3 linked regions of the Arabidopsis thaliana genome follow. The protein of the gene in region 2 interacts with the protein of the main gene of each other region in a pairwise test. Each region holds a gene or a part of one and is shown on either strand. Other genes may lie near its edges.

Evidence for each region. The genes of interacting proteins can lie anywhere in the genome.
Region 1: the proteins of AT2G47890 (region 2) and AT3G10113 interact in a two-hybrid assay, tested with the Arabidopsis thaliana proteins (one large-scale study listed by BioGRID).
Region 3: the proteins of AT2G47890 (region 2) and GNC interact in a two-hybrid assay, tested with the Arabidopsis thaliana proteins (one large-scale study listed by BioGRID).

Annotation. Positions count from the first base shown.
Region 1 is NC_003074.8:3,116,762-3,122,798, forward strand, and holds AT3G10113 (Homeodomain-like superfamily protein), read right to left. Parts: upstream 2,631-6,037; coding exon 2,469-2,630; intron 2,378-2,468; coding exon 2,266-2,377; intron 2,176-2,265; coding exon 2,114-2,175; intron 2,032-2,113; coding exon 1,825-2,031; intron 1,750-1,824; coding exon 1,282-1,749; 3' UTR 1,135-1,281; downstream 1-1,134. Other genes in the region: MEE67 (Mitochondrial import inner membrane translocase subunit Tim17/Tim22/Tim23 family protein), read left to right, coding at 1-191, 302-374, 532-617. UniProt on the Arabidopsis thaliana protein: Probable transcription factor.
Region 2 is NC_003071.7:19,604,708-19,612,943, reverse strand, and holds AT2G47890 (B-box type zinc finger protein with CCT domain-containing protein), read right to left. Parts: upstream 4,949-8,236; 5' UTR 4,700-4,948; coding exon 4,229-4,699; intron 4,151-4,228; coding exon 3,989-4,150; coding exon of another isoform or gene 3,908-3,988; exon of another isoform or gene 3,906-3,907; coding exon 3,634-3,905; coding exon of another isoform or gene 3,630-3,633; exon of another isoform or gene 3,562-3,629; coding exon 3,468-3,561; 3' UTR 2,657-3,467; downstream 1-2,656. Other genes in the region: TLP3 (tubby like protein 3), read left to right, coding at 178-522, 610-697, 785-920, 998-1,177, 1,274-1,748; AT2G47885 (uncharacterized protein), read left to right, coding at 7,576-7,713; AT2G47880 (Glutaredoxin family protein), read right to left, coding at 7,512-7,820.
Region 3 is NC_003076.8:22,988,082-22,995,148, forward strand, and holds GNC (GATA type zinc finger transcription factor family protein), read right to left. Parts: upstream 3,450-7,067; 5' UTR 3,271-3,449; coding exon 2,998-3,270; intron 2,721-2,997; coding exon 2,241-2,720; intron 1,993-2,240; coding exon 1,549-1,992; 3' UTR 1,135-1,548; downstream 1-1,134. UniProt on the Arabidopsis thaliana protein: Transcriptional regulator that specifically binds 5'-GATA-3' or 5'-GAT-3' motifs within gene promoters. Involved in the modulation of chloroplast development, growth and division in a cytokinin-dependent manner.

The sequences.
Region 1 (6,037 bases), on a different chromosome or scaffold from region 2:
GAGGAGGACTCGGGTTGATGATGGGTTTGTTCTTGGGGGCATTAGATAATCCTATTACGCATGATACTATGACGGCTAGGCAGCAGTTTGTGTTCACGGCAAAACAAATGGGGCAAAGGAGTTGGAATTCCTGTAAGACATTTGCAGTTATGGGTTTGGTTTTCTCTGCTGCAGAATGCATTGTCGAAAAGGTAATACCTTGTTTATTGACCAAGAAAAACAAGGAAATTCCACTACTAACTCATGTATCATAACTTCAAAACCTTATTATCGACTTTTTTGGTTTACCTCTCTGAAAAAGGCAAGAGCTAAGCATGACACTGTAAACACCGCTATAGCTGGATGTGTTACCGGTGGTTCAATGTCCGCCCGAGGTAAGACCTATTATCTTCTGTGCATGGAATTTAAATCTTAGAGATTCATTATCAATATGCAACGGCCTAATTCCCAAACTGTAATCTCGTAGAGGTTTGATTTCTCTTACATGATACATTGTGTTCTTGAGGACTTAATGGATTGGTCTTGTTTCAGGTGGGCCAAAAGCTGCGTGTATAGGTTGCGCTGGATTTGCAACTTTCTCTGTACTCATAGAGAAGTTCTTTGATAGGCATACATAAACCAGTGAGATATCTAACAGACGCCATTGCTGAGATTTTTTTGCTGCTTCTTTTCTGTGATAGTGATACAGTTCATCACCTGAACCCAGGGAGATAGAAGCTAGAATTACACTTTTCAATATAGAATAAGCAAGGCTTGTGTTGATTGCATATACTTCAATTGTTGTTATTTATCATAGATTTCATTAGACTTTGAGGGCTCCAATATTTAAGTAAGTGAATTAGACTTGAGGGCTCCAATTTTTAAGCAAGTGTCCACAGAAATTTAGGGGGTTCCCTTTGCACAATGTTTCAATTCTCAGAGTTTGAAGTTTCACTCGTATATTAATCTGCTTAATGTAAAAACCTTTTAACATTAAGACTGGTCTTAAGGCTAATAATCATAAACCAGACCTAAGATTGAAACAGAGCTAGGAATAGTTGGCCAAACAAATACACTGTTAAAACTGATTTGTATATGAAGAAAAAAAGAAGTGTCTTCTTAACGTGAGACAGCAGGAGAAACTTCATTACAAGGATTACATGTGGCGGACAAGTAAAACCACTTACCAACTCGGATTTAGGATTTGGTTCGTGGAATGCTATGATCCAAGTCACCCAGCAAATGGCTAAAACAATGTTCACGGATCATCAAAATTGACTCCAAACTGTACAATGGCTAAAACTAGCATATACGTGCTCTTTGGCTTTTCTTTTCATCTGAAGCTACCAGCGTCAATGATGATGTTACTTCTCTTTCTGATAGGCATCTCTTGTATGGCCTGAACCCACTTGCATTTACAGGATTACAAGATCCTTGTTTTTCTAAGGAGCTTAACCGTTTCCATGAAGAACTTATCGGCTCTGCACTCTTCTCCAAGTTCTCAGATGCTTCTGTAACCGAGCCAAATGCATTAGAACCAGTACAAAACGTTTCCCATACACCAAGAGATAAATTAGTGTCAACTAGCATCCCTGAGTAGTGATTCTCCTGACACGTCATTTGTTTAAGATCATCATCATTGTAAGAGGATGGTTTGTGAGATTCTTCCGCGACAAGGACAATCTTCCCGAAAAGAGTAATGCTTGAAATGGGTGTTGAACCAATGTCAGAATCATCTTTGAAAGGTTGCTTGGATGTTGTGTAGTTATTCTTTTAATCAATGGAAGTTGCACCAATGGATTGGATGTCACTGGTACACGAATTAGGCGAAGAGCATCTATTGACTTGATCCTCTGAACCAAACGATGATAACACTGAGGTTGGAGACTTGGTTCCTTTCTCCATAGCTGACAAATTTGGTGGAGGAGACTGAGTATATGGAACAGGCGATTTCCGAGGATAAGGATGTGCCGGTTTTCTCTTTGGACGAGGAGGCGGGATCACAATCGCTTTAACCGATCCTTCACTTCTACTGTCAGCTTCCTGAGCCATCTGCAATGGATAAAAAACTGTCAGGTTACAAACTAACCAAATCAGTACTACTGATGTTATGGAACATATGAACAAACAAGACCTTGGAGAAGAACTTTTGAGCATGGCTTCGTATCTGTACAGCGGTTTTTGTACCTATGTGTTCTGCAGCAAAATCAAGACTTAGGTTCTTCAGAACTACATCTAATAGCAGCTAGATTCTAAGCTCAATTTAAGCTCCAAGTCAAATAATACCTTGGATTTGACGCCACCCACGACCATAAAGCTTGATAGCTTCAAGAAACCTATCATGCTCTTCCTCACTCCACTTCTCTCTCTGCTTAGTTACTGTGTACGGTTTCCTAACCTTGAAGAACAATACACAGAGGAGAGGTAAGATCCACTGGCAAAATCTGAAATTTGTCTCTTCTCCAAAGTTGTGACAAAACATATAGTACCTTGACAACGTTTTCAATCCAATGACTGCTGGTTTCAGGATTAATTCCTTCATTGGAATTGCAACTTCCATTTTCTACATTGCTGCTTAGTTCCTCACTTCGATCCTGAAGTGGAAACAAGCTGATTTCGGGTTCGGTATATATAATAATCATCATTACCATATTGGTTACTTTCTCTACGCTATTGCCGTGCTCGCTAAGTTTGATCCTTTGTGGGGAGAGAGATACAGAGCTCAAGCGTACAGTCTATTGGCGGATTTCATGACGTTTGGGAGAAAAGATGATAATAATTCAAATTCTAGTTATCCGCGTTTGAGAAATTTTGATCTTTTCAAGCTACACTCATGGGCTGGAGGGTTAACGGAGTTCTGGGACGGCCGGAATCAAGAGAGCACAAGCGAGGCCGTAAACGCTTATTACTCCGCCGCTTTATTAGGGTTAGCTTACGGCGACAAACATCTGGTGGAGACGGCGTCAACGATCATGACGCTTGAGATACACGCCGCGAAGATGTGGTGGCAGGTAACTATTCTTGAATCTTGGTTACGGCTATCAACAAGTTAGAATTGGTAGATATGTCCCTCTCTATATGAAAAACCAAACTAAAAATTAAGACACCAAAACCAAAACATAATTTTCGTAATGAAGATATACTTTTTAAAACAATATTTAAATCAAAAGAAAATCATATTGAGCCAGTTACTGTTATTCTTTCTTGGTGGACAACTCAATCACATATGTCGCTTTCATGATCATATGTCTAATCATTCCATAGGATTTAACTGCAGTATCATAGTTTTTACAAGGGTTTATTGTAAAAGTAGGCAGTTTTTAGAAAATTATTTGAGAACTAGACAGTTTTTTTGGAAATATGCTGAGAGGGTACTTTTTATTGGGTTTGTCTAATAGGATTCATGTGAGATAGAAAAAGGTAGCAAAAATCCAAAAGAGGTGTCAAATACAATAGTAGCCTTGTGTTTTAAAAACACACATTCCGGCTGGGTTCGACGAAACAAATTGGATTGGGTTTTAAAACTCATTTTAGGCCCGTTAACTCCAATTCGTATTAAGTGAGCCCAAATATTTGAGCCCGATAGTTTCATTACGTTTTTTATCCAAATAACTTCTGAGCCCGTGTTTATTCTGAGATTGAGTTACTTTACTCTTCTTGGTTTTTCACGAACCCTAGCCACAGTCGGTGTACAACAAATCGAGGGTGAACGAGTTCGAGAAGAGAGACGTTTGAGAGAAACCCAGTACACCAAATGGGTACACTATAATAGTACACCAAGTGAGAACACTAGAATAGTACACCACTAGTACACTAGACTAGTACACTAGACTAGTACACTAGCCAAGATAGAATATAATAGTATACTAGAATAGTACACCAAATGGGTACACCAATTAGTAACCAAGTGAATTAAAAACAGTACACCACTTTGGTGCACTAGACTAGTCTACTATTATACTAAAAATATTTAGGAAATGCAATGGAATTAAAAACTATACCCTAAAACTATACACTAAAAGACATTATTGAAATGTAGTGAAATTCAAAACTATACACTAAAAGACAAAGAGAGAAGACTAAACCCAAGGAAAACCATATATCATATGGAATGAAGTTTAAAACTATACCCTAAAGCCTTAGATTACTAGAATTTAGAATTCCAAGTAAATAAATAAATTCCTAATTCAAAGTCATAACCCTAGATTATTATTATGCTTCATAACACTTGAATTGAAATATATTGTATTATAATTTGGATTGATACTTTGACATTCTAGAAGTAGACTAGAATAGTACACCAAATGGGTACACTATTATAGTACACCAAGTGAGAACACTAGAACAGTACACCATTAGTACACAAGACTAGTACACCAAATGCGTACACTATGATAGTACACAAAGTGAGAACACTAGAACAGTACACCACTTCGGTACACTAGACTAGTACACTAGCCAAGATAGAATACTAAAAACATTTAGGAAATGCAATGGAATTAAAAACTATACCCTAAAATCCAAGATAGATTACTAAACCCCAAGGAAATGAAGAGGTCGGAGAACATGATGCGATATCGGATGAAGAGGTCGAGTGACTGGCTCTCCCGGGGATCGACGTTGTCGTTTTGCTTCCAGAGCCTGACGAGTCGGTATCGAATGCTCCATGTAGTCCGTTTGTTGTCACTTTGGTTCGTCGCGGGTTCGTAGTTTTGAGAGATATCTTCGAGCTATCCCCCTACCTGGCGCGCCAACTGTTGATGCACGAATCACACAAGTACGAAAATGGGATCTCTAGGGAAGGAAGAAGAATCTTTCTATTAATGACGAGCCCGCGACTTAGGCGAATTGGACGGATTACAAAGGATGATTTCTTCAACGAGCATAAATGGAGTAAGAACGAGCCGATTGTAGATGAAAGACGAGCTTGAGGCCGGAAGACGATCTTGATGTCCGAGGAAGAATAGAGTTTATTCGTTTTATAGCTGAACCTTGTAAAAGGTTGCCTACGTACCCTTAGAAAGGGATCAAGCCACACGTAGTTCATATTAGAATAAGTGAGCTAGGCCATCGTTGGAGGTAGGTCGGCAGGTAGGTGACGAGCCGGCAGATGTGCGATGAGCTGGATGAACCGTGGTAGAGAGACGAGTTGGACAAACCGAGTTGTTTGCTGAAGGTCTAGACGAGCTGGACGACGAGATAGGTGGACTATGCAGTCAATGGACGAACTTCCGCTAGGCGAGGAGGTAGATGAGTTTCGCAGTCGAGGGATGAGCTGATAGCTAGACGAGGAGATGGTCGCTGTGATGGGAAGAGCTTGAAGACGAGCTGAGGAGCTTGAGGACGAGCTGAGGAGCTTGAAGAGCTTAAAGGCGAGTTGGAGAGATTAAAGACGAGCTGGATAGCTTGAAGACGAGCTGAGGGACTTGGTGAAGAGAACGAGTTGAGAAGCTTGACGAAGAGGAGCGAGCTAACGAGTTTCTTAAGAAGGGAGAGCTGATGAGCTTCTTGAGAAGGGCGAGCTGATTAGCTACTTGAGACGGACGAGCTGACGAGCTTCGTGAGACAAAGTGAGAACACGAGAACAGTACACCACTTCGGTACACTAGACTAGTACACTAGCCAAGATAGAATACTAAAAACATTTAGGAAATGCAATGGAATTAAAAACTATACCCTAAAATCCAAGATAGATTACTAAACCCCAAGGAAAAAAACCATTATTGAAATGTATTGCAATTCAAAACTATACACTAAAAGCTGCCTAGTTCTCAAATTATTTCCCTAAAAACTGCCTAGTTCTCAACTTATCTCCTCTTTAAATTATACATAGGCCTACTGGGCATAAGCCGAGAGACGTCTCGCGCCCAGTACACGCCGAATACTTTTATTTATAAAGCCGAGCTCAGTCTCGCACTTAACATCTAACCCGAACTTAGACAGAAAAAATCGGCTGTGACGTCAGGTGAAAACCAGTCCGCCCGAAAGCCGAGCTCAAAGCTTGCATATGGCTTATAATTTAGTCGATTTAAAACCTAATTTCAAGATTGGGAATCCG
Region 2 (8,236 bases):
CGTGTTTTTTTTTTTTAATAATTTGGAGGAGCTTGTGTTTTAGTTCGTTGAGATCTCGTTCGTTCCGAATGTGGGTTTATTAGGGTTCTTGAAAAAGTCTGCAACTTTGAATTAGGTGCATTACCAAGAAATATATAGAGACTGCTTCTAGTTCGTTATTAGTTAGAATTCAGAGCCATGTCCTTCAAGAGTCTCATTCAGGACATGAGAGGAGAGCTTGGGAGTATATCCAGAAAGGGATTCGATGTCAGATTCGGGTATGGTAGATCCAGGTCTCAACGTGTTGTTCAGGATACTTCTGTTCCTGTTGATGCTTTCAAGCAGAGCTGCTGGGCTAGTATGCCTCCGGAGCTCCTGAGAGATGTTCTTATGAGGATTGAGCAATCCGAAGACACTTGGCCGTCTAGGAAAAATGTTGTTTCTTGCGCTGGTGTCTGCAGGAACTGGCGAGAAATCGTCAAAGAGATCGTCAGAGTTCCTGAGCTTTCTAGCAAACTCACTTTTCCTATCTCCCTCAAACAGGTTGAGTATCCCATCACATTCTCTCTTTACTTTATAAATGACTTGTGTGCTTATCCAGGCTAATCGTTTTTCCCTACTTCCTTTTAGCCGGGTCCTAGAGGATCACTTGTTCAATGCTATATTATGAGAAACCGCAGCAATCAAACCTACTATCTATACCTCGGGTTAAACCAAGGTGAAACTAACAGATGCTTCTTCTTTTCTCTTTGCATACCTAATCTCTTTCTGAATAACACTCAAAGGTTTACTTTTTCTGGTCCAGCAGCAGCTTCAAATGATGATGGAAAGTTCCTTCTTGCTGCCAAGAGGTTTCGGAGGCCAACTTGCACTGACTACATCATCTCCTTAAACTGCGATGATGTCTCTCGAGGAAGCAATACCTATATCGGAAAGCTTAGGTACTTAGCTACAGATTGACCCCATGGTTTTTTCATATATTTGCCATAACCTTTCTCTTATCTTAACTTTCTTTCAGATCTAACTTTCTGGGGACCAAGTTCACTGTCTATGACGCTCAGCCGACGAATCCTGGAACTCAGGTTACCAGAACCCGTTCAAGCAGACTTCTCAGTTTGAAACAAGTGAGCCCGAGAATTCCATCTGGCAACTATCCTGTAGCACATATCTCATATGAGCTTAACGTCTTGGGTTCCAGGTGATTTATCTCCTTGCTTACAGATACATTGTGAGATAAAACGGTAGTTGCTTAATATGGCTTTTGCTAATTGTGAACATTGTCGTATCATACCAGAGGACCGAGGAGGATGCAGTGTGTCATGGATGCCATCCCTGCATCAGCTGTAGAACCTGGAGGAACAGCTCCAACTCAGACGGAACTTGTCCATAGCAATCTTGATAGTTTCCCCTCATTCTCCTTCTTCAGGTCGAAATCAATTCGTGCAGAGAGTCTCCCTTCTGGTCCATCATCTGCTGCTCAGAAGGAAGGACTGCTTGTCCTGAAAAACAAAGCGCCCAGATGGCACGAACAGCTCCAGTGCTGGTGCCTCAACTTCAATGGGAGAGTCACAGTTGCTTCCGTCAAAAACTTTCAGCTGGTAGCTGCTCCTGAGAATGGACCTGCAGGACCTGAGCACGAAAACGTGATTCTCCAGTTTGGAAAAGTCGGAAAAGATGTGTTCACAATGGATTATCAGTACCCTATCTCTGCCTTCCAGGCCTTCACCATTTGCCTCAGCAGTTTCGACACCAAGATAGCATGTGAATGATTAATTCCATCAAACCCTGTGACTCCGTGTTTATTTAGTTGTATCATGTTGAAAGAGAAGACTGGTTTGGCCTCGTCTTAGAAGTGTGTGTACATAGTTTCAAAAGTCTTGGCAAGTCCATACAAGAGAAGAGTCAAGAATCGAAGACAGTAGATTGTGTTTGTTGTTGTTGTTGTTGCATTGTGTTGCTAGTGATTGTAGTTCCAGACTATGATTTCATTTCTCTGATAATTAATTTGATCGTTTTTTGGGTAATATATATCCACACAGAGCAGAAATTGAGACATTTGAATTATTATATTTAAGATTGAATTTGACAAACATCTGCAATATCCTATACAGAGATAGCTTTAATATTATTCGAGTGACCAATGGAGTCAGATGTGGTCAATAATAGGGTGGCAGAAGTGGCGGTCCTTGTGGCGGTGGGCCGCCAAAGCAATCTCGTAGCAGCCAGCAGCAGCACAGACAAGATAGACTGCAAGATTCCACAGTCAGACTAACCACTTAACTCTTTACAAAACACATAGCAAAACAGAGAATGTCTTTACCAGGAACATATCATGTCGGAGAACCCAGAAAAGAAACCACCAATGGGTGGGAAGAAGCCTGGTCCTCCCGGTGGCAAGAACCCTGGTCCTCCGGGTCCTCCTGGTCCTCCGGGGCCCATGACAGATCTCTGAACAGTGTGGTGAAGATGTCTCCAAGGGATTTAGCGCTCTTAAGACAGGAGAATAAACAGAGAAGGGCTCTTATATACAAGTTTGTTGGGGCCTAATCTTCAACGTCAACAAACAGTAAACGAAGAGTGAGAGATGCAAAATTGCTTCAAGCTGCAACCACTCTTCACCAAATGTTCAAATCCAAAAATATTAACAGTAAAATTAACCATCATTAAAATAAAGAACTCCAAGTCAGATTCATATTTGAATTCTAAGAAGAACATAGAGAATATAACCACAACTCTGATACATGATTTAGTGCTTACTGATTGCTCAACAAGTAAAACCCACTCCAGATTCCTTGTTCAACCAAAACTTACTTTACTTCTCAGATTATCATTGGGACAGATTCATCGTAGCAGGAATGATCTGCCAAAAAGTGTTGTCATTTTTTTTTGTATTTTTATACTGCCTCAGATTATTATATATTGGTAGATTGCAAATAGTTGTTGCCGCGAGCCCATGCCTTTGGATGTTTGTCTTCATCGGCCATCCAATTTCATCTGAATAAAAAAACAAGAGTGAAAGCTGCGACGGCAGCGGAATTTCTGTTTCGCCGGCCATCGGGAAGAGACGCTTTTATATTTGGGCTTTAAAAGAAAATGGCCCAAACATGCCAACCTATATTGGGTTTACTATGTTACAACTTGAGCCCATAATATCAATTACATCAAGCCCTTCTTGCTCCATGGATCTTTAATGGGTCCAATCTCACTTTCTAACATTACAACAAGTTCTTTTGCTGCTTGCTTGTCTTGAGATTGTATATAACTGTGAACCATGTTTTGTTCTGTGCTCGTCCATGCTTGCCCTTTGGCAAATTAGGAATCGGAGGCAAAACAAAAAAAAAACTATTCTTAAGTGACAATTTTGAGAGTGTGGTCGATATACAGTGATAACTCCTAAGCTTAGAATACAAAAACTTATCTGATCATACACACTATATGATTCGATTAATACAAAAGATTTTTGATTATCAAAGTAACCTCATCATCATTCATGGATCTGCTGCCTTGGCGAAACGTCCCCTGATTCTTGTCCTGCTTTCTGCACGAACCTTGCGTGATTCATACCTGATGTGTTTCTCGTACCTGTTTCATCAACACATGATTCAAATCCCAATCCTATTGGTGGTGTCTCACTTTTTAAATTAGCTTGTTTACCTTCGAGACTTCTTCTTTTCTTTGTAGCGAGAGAGAGCAGAGTTCCTCTCAAGACTGTTGATCTCATGTGTCATCGACCTTGTACTAGTGATAACCGGAACCATCACAGTCTCTTCCTCACATCGGTTTAAGCAGCCGGAAACGGGAACCATCACCGATGACTCTCGGTCTACATTCTCAGGTTTCTCATCTGACTCCGACAAGTTCTTTAGCAGAGAGCAATATGGAAAGTCCTCATGATCTTGCTGATCGAACCATTTCAGTCCACTCTCCTTCATATTGACAAGAGAGATTTATAAGCTGGAAAATCATTTGACAAGCACAAGAAAACACAACCAATAGCAGTCTCTATTACCAGCTCGCATGTAGAAAACAAATCCGGCGCTAGGAATTGGAACCCGGCATCGATCTCAGCATCTGGGGTTTCAAATTTCAGACAACCAGGCTCAGATCTGGATAGTCCACGGAGCTGTCGGATCATCTCATCTTTGTATTTCCCGCAGGTGGCGTGACGATTCTGGAGCATTTCAAAACATTTCAGAGAAATATAAAAACCGAGCAATTGGCTCGAGAAAAAAAACAGAGCAAGTTATACCTTAGGCAGAGGAGGAACATCCGTGGCCCGGAAGTTATGAGTACCCGACCCGCCCGAAACAATAAGGTCGTTGAGGCTAACGATCTCAGGTGACTCCCAAAGCAATCCGGAATCGAGAGTGAGGTCATCGAGGCCAACGATGGCCAGCAACTCAGGCACGGAGGGACAGCCGGTAAATCCTTCAAAGGGTCTGCGGCTATGAAGGGAGGAAGAGGCGGTGTGGTGTTGCCAGTCGCAGTTCTGGCAAAGAACAGACCTTTCAGTCTCGCAGAAAAGGGAAGAGGGAGATTCGTTGCAGGAGTCGCAGAGAAGTGACCTGAAGTGTTTGGCGAAGAGTTGGTTGGCGACGTGGACTTGCTTGTCGCAGGCGAGGCAGAGCTTGGCGGAGTCAGCTTTGCAGTAGACAAGAGCCACGGAGGAGTCGCAATAGTCGCAGAGGCGGTCACGCTGATGACCTTCTTCTGCTTCCATGGGAGGAGCTTAGAGGAGACGACGCCGACAGTTTTGGTAAGAAGAAGAAGTTGATCTTTTCTTGGGATATTTTGGGGCAACAAAACCAAATTTGGTGGCTTATGTAAAAGCCATATCTTAATTGCATTCTAGGTAATGAATGACGTTAAAGTGACGACATATTTGCTTAGACAAAGTCAAATACATTTTATTTCTTGGGGAAGAAGCTGGAAACCTACACTCTCTTCACCTTCCCGTGCCTTTCTTTACTCATCTCTCTCACTTAACTCGTGAAAAATAGCTCTCCATTTTTATATATTGATTTTTCTTGATATATCGGATTAGCCTAGAATTTAACATAATATTTTGGCTACCACATATATAATATACAGTACTTGGTTAGATTTTTAAAAAGTAAATAAGATCATAACTAATGAAGGGCTCAAGAGAAAGAGTTAATGAAGTTGACCACGAATACATCTCTGAAGATTTTTTAAACCGGGACTAGTCCAGAAAATGGACGTGGCAAATTAGGGACGTTAGAAAAAGGAAGCTCGTTGTTGAGGCAGCGTTGGCCGATTTGATTAACTTTAAAGAAACAGACAAACGAAAAAAAGGACTTTGTCACGTTACCGACATAGCTAGAATGCTCGATACTGAATCTTTTCTTCTTATATTTGTTTTTTGTTTGCCACTATGTATATTAGGTGAAACGGAAATGGATCCCACCATTAATTTTTGATATTGAGTCCAAATCTGCTTATCTCCACTAATACCTCATCATCGTTCCTCGATAACTATTACTCCATGAAGGTAGTTTTCAATTAGAGTTTCCGTACTGAATTAAACCTATTCAAGATTAGCTAATACCATGCATAGTTTGACTTTTAGGGCACGATGGGGAAAAAGAGACAGGATGGGCAATATCTAACATTCCAGCGACACTAATAACATGATCTCGACAACTACTGCCCCTACTTCTCTTGAACAATAACACATATCACAAGATAATCTAGCTAGGTTGCTTTTCCATCCTCGTAACATACTAACATGGCTATAAAAACTCATTTTTCAAAAATCGAAATTGATTCTGAAGCCTTTAATAAAAATACACACAACTAAACTGAAACCAAATGTTCTACCATTTCACTTTGGTGGACTAAACTATTCGCATGAGCTACGTTCCTTTTTTAATTTTTGATTTTTTAAAAAATGGTCCACTTTCCAAGTAATCATCGGTTCTCGATATTTTCTTGGACACGAATCTTGAGCCTATAGGTGGATGCTTTTTTCACGCGCCGGTCAAAGAATCTTGAATCTTATAACAATGACAACAAAGTGAATATGGTTCTTAGTTCTTACACGTTCTGTACAACTTCCGATTAGATTCTCCTATATATTTCCCACGATCCCAAGAAGTTGGAGGTCAAGAAAAGTTGTTCCACACATCATGTAAAGGGATTCTACCTTTATTATTTCTTTTCGACCTTTTGAACTCAGTATAATCATATTTTCTTCAAAAAGAAATCTTCAAGGTCTATATACTACTATATAACTATAGAGGCTTTTACACGCTTCTTTTGATTGGAGAATCTTGAAGTAGTTGATTTTGGTAACTTTAAGTAACTAAAGGGAAATAATTATGGGTAACATATATAAGCATGCAAAGCGTAAATGTCAAATCCATTATTTAGTAACTAATTTACGTGCTTAAACCTGTGAGTAGAGTTTAATCTCAAGTGATAAAAAGCGGAACTAAGGAGAATAATATGCTTCGTTATCTATAAAGCTGATGAGAGGATCGTTAATGTACCGTATATAAAACAACTATTCATATGATTCGTTAGTAAAAAAAATTGTATTTTTTTCTTCTAACATTGTATGTTTTTATTGATTATGAGCATATATGTTTAATTTACTACACGAGCAACTAACGAAAAAACAAAGAGTTCATATATATAAAAAGGTGTACAATTTTTCATTAGAAAATAATAGTAAATTAAACGTGAAGATACTCAAGAATAAAGGAACGCAAAAAGAGCAGTGATTTTGTGTAGCCATGATATACTTGGACCGCGAAAGATCTTCCATCCTCTTCCTCAAACTGCTTTAGTTGCATTAGGCCACTGGTATCTTATCATTGTTTTTCTTCTTACCAAATTTGTATGGTGGAGACTAATTAAGTCTATTCTGATCTAATATTTTTCACATTCGATTTATATATACTCTAATGGGCACTGATTTATCCTTGATTCAAAAGTACGCTCTAAACACAACATCACAAAGGCTAAATCTGTATATCGCCCGATATAATGTTAACTATCAATAGGTCTAACTAATAATGATGAAGCCAACTTATACATTACATCTTGATAATTAGAAGACGAGTTCATGCATGTGTTGGCCATTCACATTTTTATTCTAGCTACTGTCAGTGTATGTGAATATTTCTAAATAAGAAAATGGTTTGTGTGTAGCCTCCTTCTGATACCATGTTAAAAACAGACAAGTATAAACGGTTTCTTGCCTTATTATATGGAAAGCCCTAAATTACTCAACATACACAAGAGATCGTTACTAATTGTGTGGGAAAAAATGTAAAAGTTTCAATACTATTTTCATTAGCATAAACAGAGAGTCATACATCAACATACACCAGTTGATTAACTAAACTGAAACACGAGAGAAGCTAAACAATAGAACATACAAACGATAAACATTAATTCAGACGAAGTCCTCACTGAATATCTAGCTAGCTCACACTCTAGCTGTAACTGTGTTTATTCTCACTAGCTAATAATTAGATATTATATATTGAGTTGGTTTAATTTTGCTAGTAAAGGATGGACTGATAGGGTTTGATCAATGGGACAAGAGAGCCACTAAGGTGAAGGGACATGACTTCATTGGTGGAGCCAACAAGCTTGCCTCCGACAAAGACAGCTGGAACCGCCGTGGAACAGCCGAGCCGGAGAAGAGCCTTCTCGATCTCACGGCAGTCCGGGTCGTTGTCGATCTCGTGGATGGTTGGTTGAACCCTAAGGTCACGGAACAGGATTTGAACGGCGTAGCAGAGACAACATGAGCTCTTCGTGAAGATCACCACTCCTTTCTCTGAAGACATTCTCATCACTTTGTCCATGATCCTCAGAAGTCTGAAGATCTGATGATGGCTAGGGGTTTAAACTTTAGCGTTTTGATGTATGTTTTGTTTTGTTTTGAGTATGTAAAAAGCTTGACATTTGCTCGCCTATTTATAGGAAGGGAGTGAGTCTTTCGAGTGTGTTTTTTTCTTGCTAATTAGAAAGAAAAGACCATTTAAAATGTAGTTTATTTCTAAGAAAATATCAAAAAGGAAAGATAAAATATCAGATGCCTATTTGAGAATTTTTCTTCTTATTTATATTCTGTTTGACTGCACAAGTTGCAAACATTACTCTCACTTCTAAGTTATTCAATTTATTTTTATTTCTACGGTAACGCTGCAGTTGTTTTGATCGTCATAACATGTTGATTAGTAATTTACGAATACGATTCGAAAAATTGTAATCAGTTTCA
Region 3 (7,067 bases), on a different chromosome or scaffold from region 2:
GTGAGGAAAGAAAATTTTGTGGATTAGATGGAAAAATATGTTTGTGGTTGAAATTAGATTTTGAATGTGGAGGGAATTGAGAGGGACCCCATTACTGTTTCTCTTGATGAATTTAATTAGTTACTCTAAATGCCAATTATTTGCTTTTTGCCTCATCCCATGATACATCATTAGTTATCAGATTAGGTTTTTGTTAATTGTCGTTTTTTGTTAATTTTGTTATTTTTTATTTATATTATAAGTATGATTCAATATTAATATTAGTTAACATTCTCTAAGTGCATGCTTTGTAGCTATGCTTGCATCTATTGGATCAATGTTCATGTATAAATTATGGTTTGTAAAATGCTTATTTAACATCAGTGTGTGTGTGCGTACTATGTGTATATAGTTGATTTAATTTGCTGTAACAAAAATAGATTAGTCATAGACTAGACCAAACTGATGTTTTAAAGTAAAAGTAGTTTACATAGTGATTGTTTTTTTTGGACAGTGATATTTTGAAGCTAAAGTATGTAGATTAGTAATTAATATTGATCATTATAAACCAATGATACATTCATAAGGATCTTAATATTAAAATAGTGTATAGTGAAAAAATAATTATATTTCACATTTTACATTTTTGATATATTTATGATTGGTGTGCTGTACTAGCTACTCATGACCCTAAGTAATAATGTAGCAGCGAAAGAAAAAAGTATTTTTTGATGTGTTGATTCAGACTTAGGTCAACCTATATGTGTTTTTTTTAAGTTTGAAATAAAATTAATTAGATCATTTTTTTTGGATAAAGGGCTTATATTAGTTAGATAATCTAATGAAAAAACTAGAAGAAAATATGTGGGCTTGCAAATATGTCGTCGTCTTAAAATGCAACACAAACGTATTATCTTCTTCACACATGATCTCTTGTCTTATATACGCATTCATATTATCCCATATCAACCATCTTTACCCTCATCTTTATATTTTGTGTTCAGTATATTCTCACAAGCAATTAAATCCAAAATAGTCAATTTAAAGCATTTCTAAGAAAAATTACACTACTATTATGAGCTTCAAAAATATATTTAAATTTTGAATGATACCAAATACTAGACGTACAATTTTAAAGCTGGTAATCCATTTATGATTGAGCTAAATTGTGATGATATGTATATTGTATAAAGATAAACACATAAATAAAAGTACCCTTAATTGATTATATTATTTCTCCAACCTCGTTACACAATACAGTACTATAAAACTTGTAAATGAACAAGAATTACCCACATTATCGGGTGACTAATGTTCGTTCCATCGGAAAACAAAAACACAACAAACTCAAAACCAAAATCTCCATAAACATATATAGAGCTATTAATTATCATATTAAACTCTCACACACTCTTATTATAAAATGTTTTGACTCCTGATATTAGACCAACTGCAAAAACTAAACTAATCACTCCAAGATTTAACAATCAATCATTATTATGATTACTATAATCTATATATTACTATTAAAATAAACCTTTTTGTAATGAGGATATTGTGATGATCTGATCAACCGTGAACCATTCCATACGACAGAGCCATGAGCAAAACAGCAGCCTCCTTCTCATCTTGTGGGAACACTTGTTGATAAGCTGAGCTTTTGCTCAACATTATTGTCAAATCATCGAAGCAAAATTTGTTTGACGAAATCGAAGAATTAGAAGAAGTTGTAGATTTGCTGATCTCTGAATCTCCGGCAACCGTTTCCGCTTCCATTTCCTTCTCCTCTTCCTCTTTGATCTTGCACTTTTTGGCCTTGGCCACCATTGGAGGAGAGTGATTGTATTTTTCCCCTCCGTTTGATCTCTTTTTTTTATTTTGCAACTTCTTTTTCAGCGGTAATTGTTGCACTCGGGGCGCTACCGCCACCTCTTGGTCGCCGGCTGCAGCGGCCGCGGCCATAGCGGCTCGCCTTGCCTTTCTTTGCCGTATACCACATGCGTTACAAAGAGACTGCAATGATAAATGAAAATTAGTATGCGAACTGTAGATGACAAAAAAAAAATCATAGAATGTTGGACTTATGAGTATCATTGATTAAAGTATTAATGTTTAAAGGATGTATCAGGTTTAAATAAATTAAATATCTACATTCTTGAAATATAACTATTAATTTTAAAAATGTGAACTAAACTAGGTAGATATAGATAGTATGACATATATCAAGACAATTTCGATTGAAGTAAGTGTGATTAATCTACCTTGGGACCTCGAGGTCCACTTCGCCAAAGAGGAGTCTTGGTGGTGTTACAATCCGAACAAACCCTAATCACGCCATTGTTATTACTATAACCGTTCTCGTTGATTGTATTGTAGCGATTCTCGGTGGTCGCGGCCGTGGTCTTCCTGGTCAAGACGTTCTTGAAATTAAGATCTTCATGGTGATCCTCGTCGAAATTAGTCTTATGATTCAAAGGGTAGTGATCACTTTCTTTATGATTATTATTATTAGTCTGATCAATGAGCTGTTTATTGTTGGTGATTGTTTTCTTGATCAACCGCATCTTTGGGGACATCAACCACTTGTCGGAGTCTGAATCGGGTTTTGTCGGGTTTTGATGAAGAGGATGGGGTTGGTCTTCGTGATCTTTTTTCCTTATCGTTAGTTTCAGTCTTGTCTCCTTCTTTGGCACCATGTGATCGCATGCTGATGATCCACCGTTAGCCACAAACATCTTGGCCTGGTATATATATATCACCGATCAAGGTTTATAATCAACAACAGATGGAATTGTACATAATAATATAATGATATGGCTTCTTAAGATCCCTCCTTTTTATTTGATAAATTAAATTTCGTCTATATAGAATTCTCGACATACAAATTCAGAAACTAATATTATTGTATGAATTTTACATGATCAGGCATGATTTTAACTGCTAAACTAAAAAGAACGATCGTACAAGAATAACATTTATACACACACACTTAAGGTTGATATGTAATTGTAAATTTACCTTGAGGGGTTGAGAAAGATGGAGATGATCAGCGTGATAAGTGTTGTTGTAGGCAACATGTTGATCTTCTTGAGAGTTGATCAAGAAAGGGAGGTAAGAGGAGAGCGATGAAATGGACGAAGAAGAAGATGAAGAATTAGAAGGGACTTGATGATGATGATGATGATGATGATGATGAAGCGAGGAAGAGGATCCAAGAGGATAGAAAAAGGGTTGTTCGTGATGGTTTTGATCTTCGTTAAGATCTATCGAGTAATGAAAATTTGAATCCATTGATGAGATAAACAAATGAAGACACAAAGAGAGAGAGAAAGAAAGCTAAGATGAGAGATTGAGAGAGATCATAGACGGCAAAAAGAGTCCAAGCTATACTATGTTTGATCCTTTTTAAAGGCAATGAGATGAGACACGAGCCAAACACACATGGTCTCTATTATATTCATATATAAAATATATCAGTTTAATAAATGGTTTACGTGAGTCTAGAGTTAGGGTACTTATGTCTCTGTATACATCAACTTGTACAGTGAATTTTAGAAGACATGGATAAAATACTGTTTTAAAATCCTACTTTCGGACAAGTCCGGATGTCATACCAATGATTTTAATTTTTTTAATGTCCTTTTTATATGTTTTTTTCTAATTTAGAAAAAAAAGCTCTAAACTTCTAGTTTTCTCAAATGACCATAAAGTATTATGAGATTCGAATCCATAATTTTATTTGCATATGCTATAACGGACATGCGATCCAGTAATCCTTGATGAGCTAGTAAAGAAAGCTTGTTGTTTTTTTCTTGGATTGATTTAAGAAAATGGATACAAATAAATAACTGAAATGATCAGTAATAGTAAATGGTCAATATTTACATTAAGAAAGTTGAAAATATATGTATATGTATATATATAATTAATTAATTTAGAGGTTCACGTGAGTCCATGGCACCCATACAAACCAAACACATGAGACAAACTGTGTGTATGTGGAATGGTACTGGACGGCCCCATTCAAAACAAACCCTATCTGTAATTTCCTTACCCCACTAGAGAGACACAGAAAATTAAAAATAAAACCCTAATTTATATAAATATTGGAGAGTGAGAGCCACACAAATCATGATAATAATTGAAACAAATAAGATCCTTTTACTTGTTGTCTTTTCAAATCTAGGGTTTCCTAGATCTCATCAAGGCTCTATTATAGAAAAAGAAAAAAAAAAAAGTCAAAATTTGGATTTCTCATGTTCTTTTCATATGTATATATACCGTTAAACTAAAAATCTACTGTATTCATGAAGAATCACTAAAAAGGTTAGATTTTCAGCTCTATGAATTTTTACTAGATTTTATTAAATCGTATCAGTCAAAACAAATTTAGAATAAATATTGATTGATAAATTTTAGAAAGTATATTACATTCTCTTATTTTCTCAACCAAAAAAAAACAAACTTCTCTTATTTAAAATGAATATCTAACTAGCGTCTGTAAATATGTCTATTGACAAATAAAAAATTAAAAAAAAAAAATGAGAAACAAAAAAGAGTCAATTAGCATTACGTGAAAAAACGTCAAAAATAAATAAATAAATAGAAATGACAAATAGTTAGTGTTTATCTTTCAGATAAGTCAGTGGATCTTCTTAAAATTCCCCTACGAGTAGTGTTAGTTAGTACCTAAAATTATAGACTTTGTTGTGATAAGCCATCAATCATATAACATGGATTGTTAAAAGTTCAAATAAGTCCAACACTGATTCGTTGGTTTATTTCCTGATAATCAAAGTTTACTCAATTGGCATAACAAATTCAAGATCTCTTGAAAACGTAGTATATATGCTATATGTAACTCGTGATCCTTTCAACTGCATGTGATCCATCAATAATCCTCCCAGAGGATAGAGAACGAAATGATCCATGATTGAGAGATAGGAAGCGAGGCAGAGGGAGAAGAGATCAGAGATCTAGAGAGAGGAGATGAATAGAGAGAAGAGATAGGTTTAGAATGGTAAAGGAAGAAAACATCCCACCTTAGTATTGCCAAACTTATTCAATTCCTTCTCATCAGATTATACAGATCATTGAGGACCCCCACACACAAAGAGACAATCCATCTTTATTTTTCAAAATTTAAAATTGGCCCATCAATTTGTAACAATTCTTAAGCTAACTAAATGATCTAAGGAAAAAATAATAATTGATATTAATTTTCTGCTATATTTAGTAGCTTTTTATATGGGATCAGATTATGATCTATATATAACTCCCAATTTTCTAACACATACTATAGGATTTGGTCAATGCATCTTATGATATCACTATTGTTAGAAACGTTTTTTCAATATCACAGTGTACAAAGTCGAATAAGATGTTATGCACTGAGAGAAATGATTTACGCTTTATAGATTATCTACTCCCTCGATCGAACTGAAAGAGACCATATATATAGACGATAGAAACTTCATAGACAACAAAGATAACAATTGGTTTGTGACCAAAACATATGTGTTTTCCATTAGTTACACCTTGTTTAAACTACAACAATCCAAAACAAGCAAAACATTGTATATTAGTGTGCACAAAAGAGCACAATAATGAAAATTGTATGGATGTGAGGATAAATCTCTTCTTTTTTTGATAAACGAGGATAAATCTCATATGTCTCATGTATATTAAGGGCCAAAAAAATCTACACAGACGGGATAAAATCAAATGAAGAAAAGTGATTGTTGAAATTTGAGTTTCCCTTTACTGTACTATCACATGCCAAAAAAGTCATTTGTTTTCTTTTGAGTAATAATAAAATTAGTAAATAATATTACTATTGGTGTCGGGATAAAAATGAAATATTACTATTGGTTACTTTAACGGTAAGTATCTAGATGGGGAAAAAAAAAACTGTACACAAATGAATTGTACTCTTCATTTTTTACATGACTTTGCAGTTGCATCACTTCTCAATCTTGGGTTTGCTTTTCAGGCTCAAAAAAGTTTTTGCCAACTTTTTCATTTCTTACCAAATCGGGTCAGTCCATTAATCAAAACACGTTATAGGAATTTTAACGCATAAAACAAAAAACAAAAACAAAAAACCAGAAGAAAACATGGAAATTGATGATCACGAATGTATATGCAATCTGTTACCGTTAATGCATTAAAACGTAATGAAAAAACATGGAAATTATTTAACAGTACGTGACGTCAATAATAGTACTGTATTACTTTTGAAAAGGTTTAAATGTCTTTAACAAAAAAAAGAAAGGGTTTCAAAGTAAAGTAGCACTATAAAATTTAATCCCATTCTACGATTATCGTTGTCTTAATTATCATTAGCTCTATTACCATTATCATTAAAGGTTGAAAAAAGAAAAGAAAAGAGAACACTGCAAATCAGAGGTAGTTTGACCACTGTTCTTTCTCGTCGATTATATTATAATATTTGACTAAGCTTTCTTTTGTTCTGTGTTCTTGAAAAGCGAGCTGAGCAGAGCCGTTGGATCATGGAAACGGAGATCGATGAGCGAAGAGATAGATAAATAGAGGGAAGAGAGAGATTGGTAGGCTAGCTCTCTGAGCTCTTAAGGGTTTTGTTCTTTCAGGTTCTCAAAAAAGACAGCATGCGATCTATCAATCTCCTTCAATGTTTTAACACATGTACCTCTTTTGAATTATCATCAAAACCGAGTCTAATTTTAAATATTTTCAGTCTCTCTCATATGTAAAATGCAGTGAGCCATCACATGTGCATAGTCATGCGTCTTCAACTATACGTTATATAAGCCAGAAAAAAAAATTCAATATTACATCTTGTTCTTATATAAAACCAAAGGATCACAAGAATCTTATATTAATTTCCAAAATTTCAAGCCTGAATTTCAAAGTCGTGAACGTTAAGATGTCTCTAACAAAATTACATCAATCCTAAACCTATATTATTATGACCACTAAAATATCATGCATCACTTAAATAGTTTAACTAGAAATGATCTAAATTGTCTTAGATACTTATATTCTTTTGTCAGGAAGTTAGTTGTTTCTTCCATATATGAGAAGGAATATAAGGTAATAATGGATAT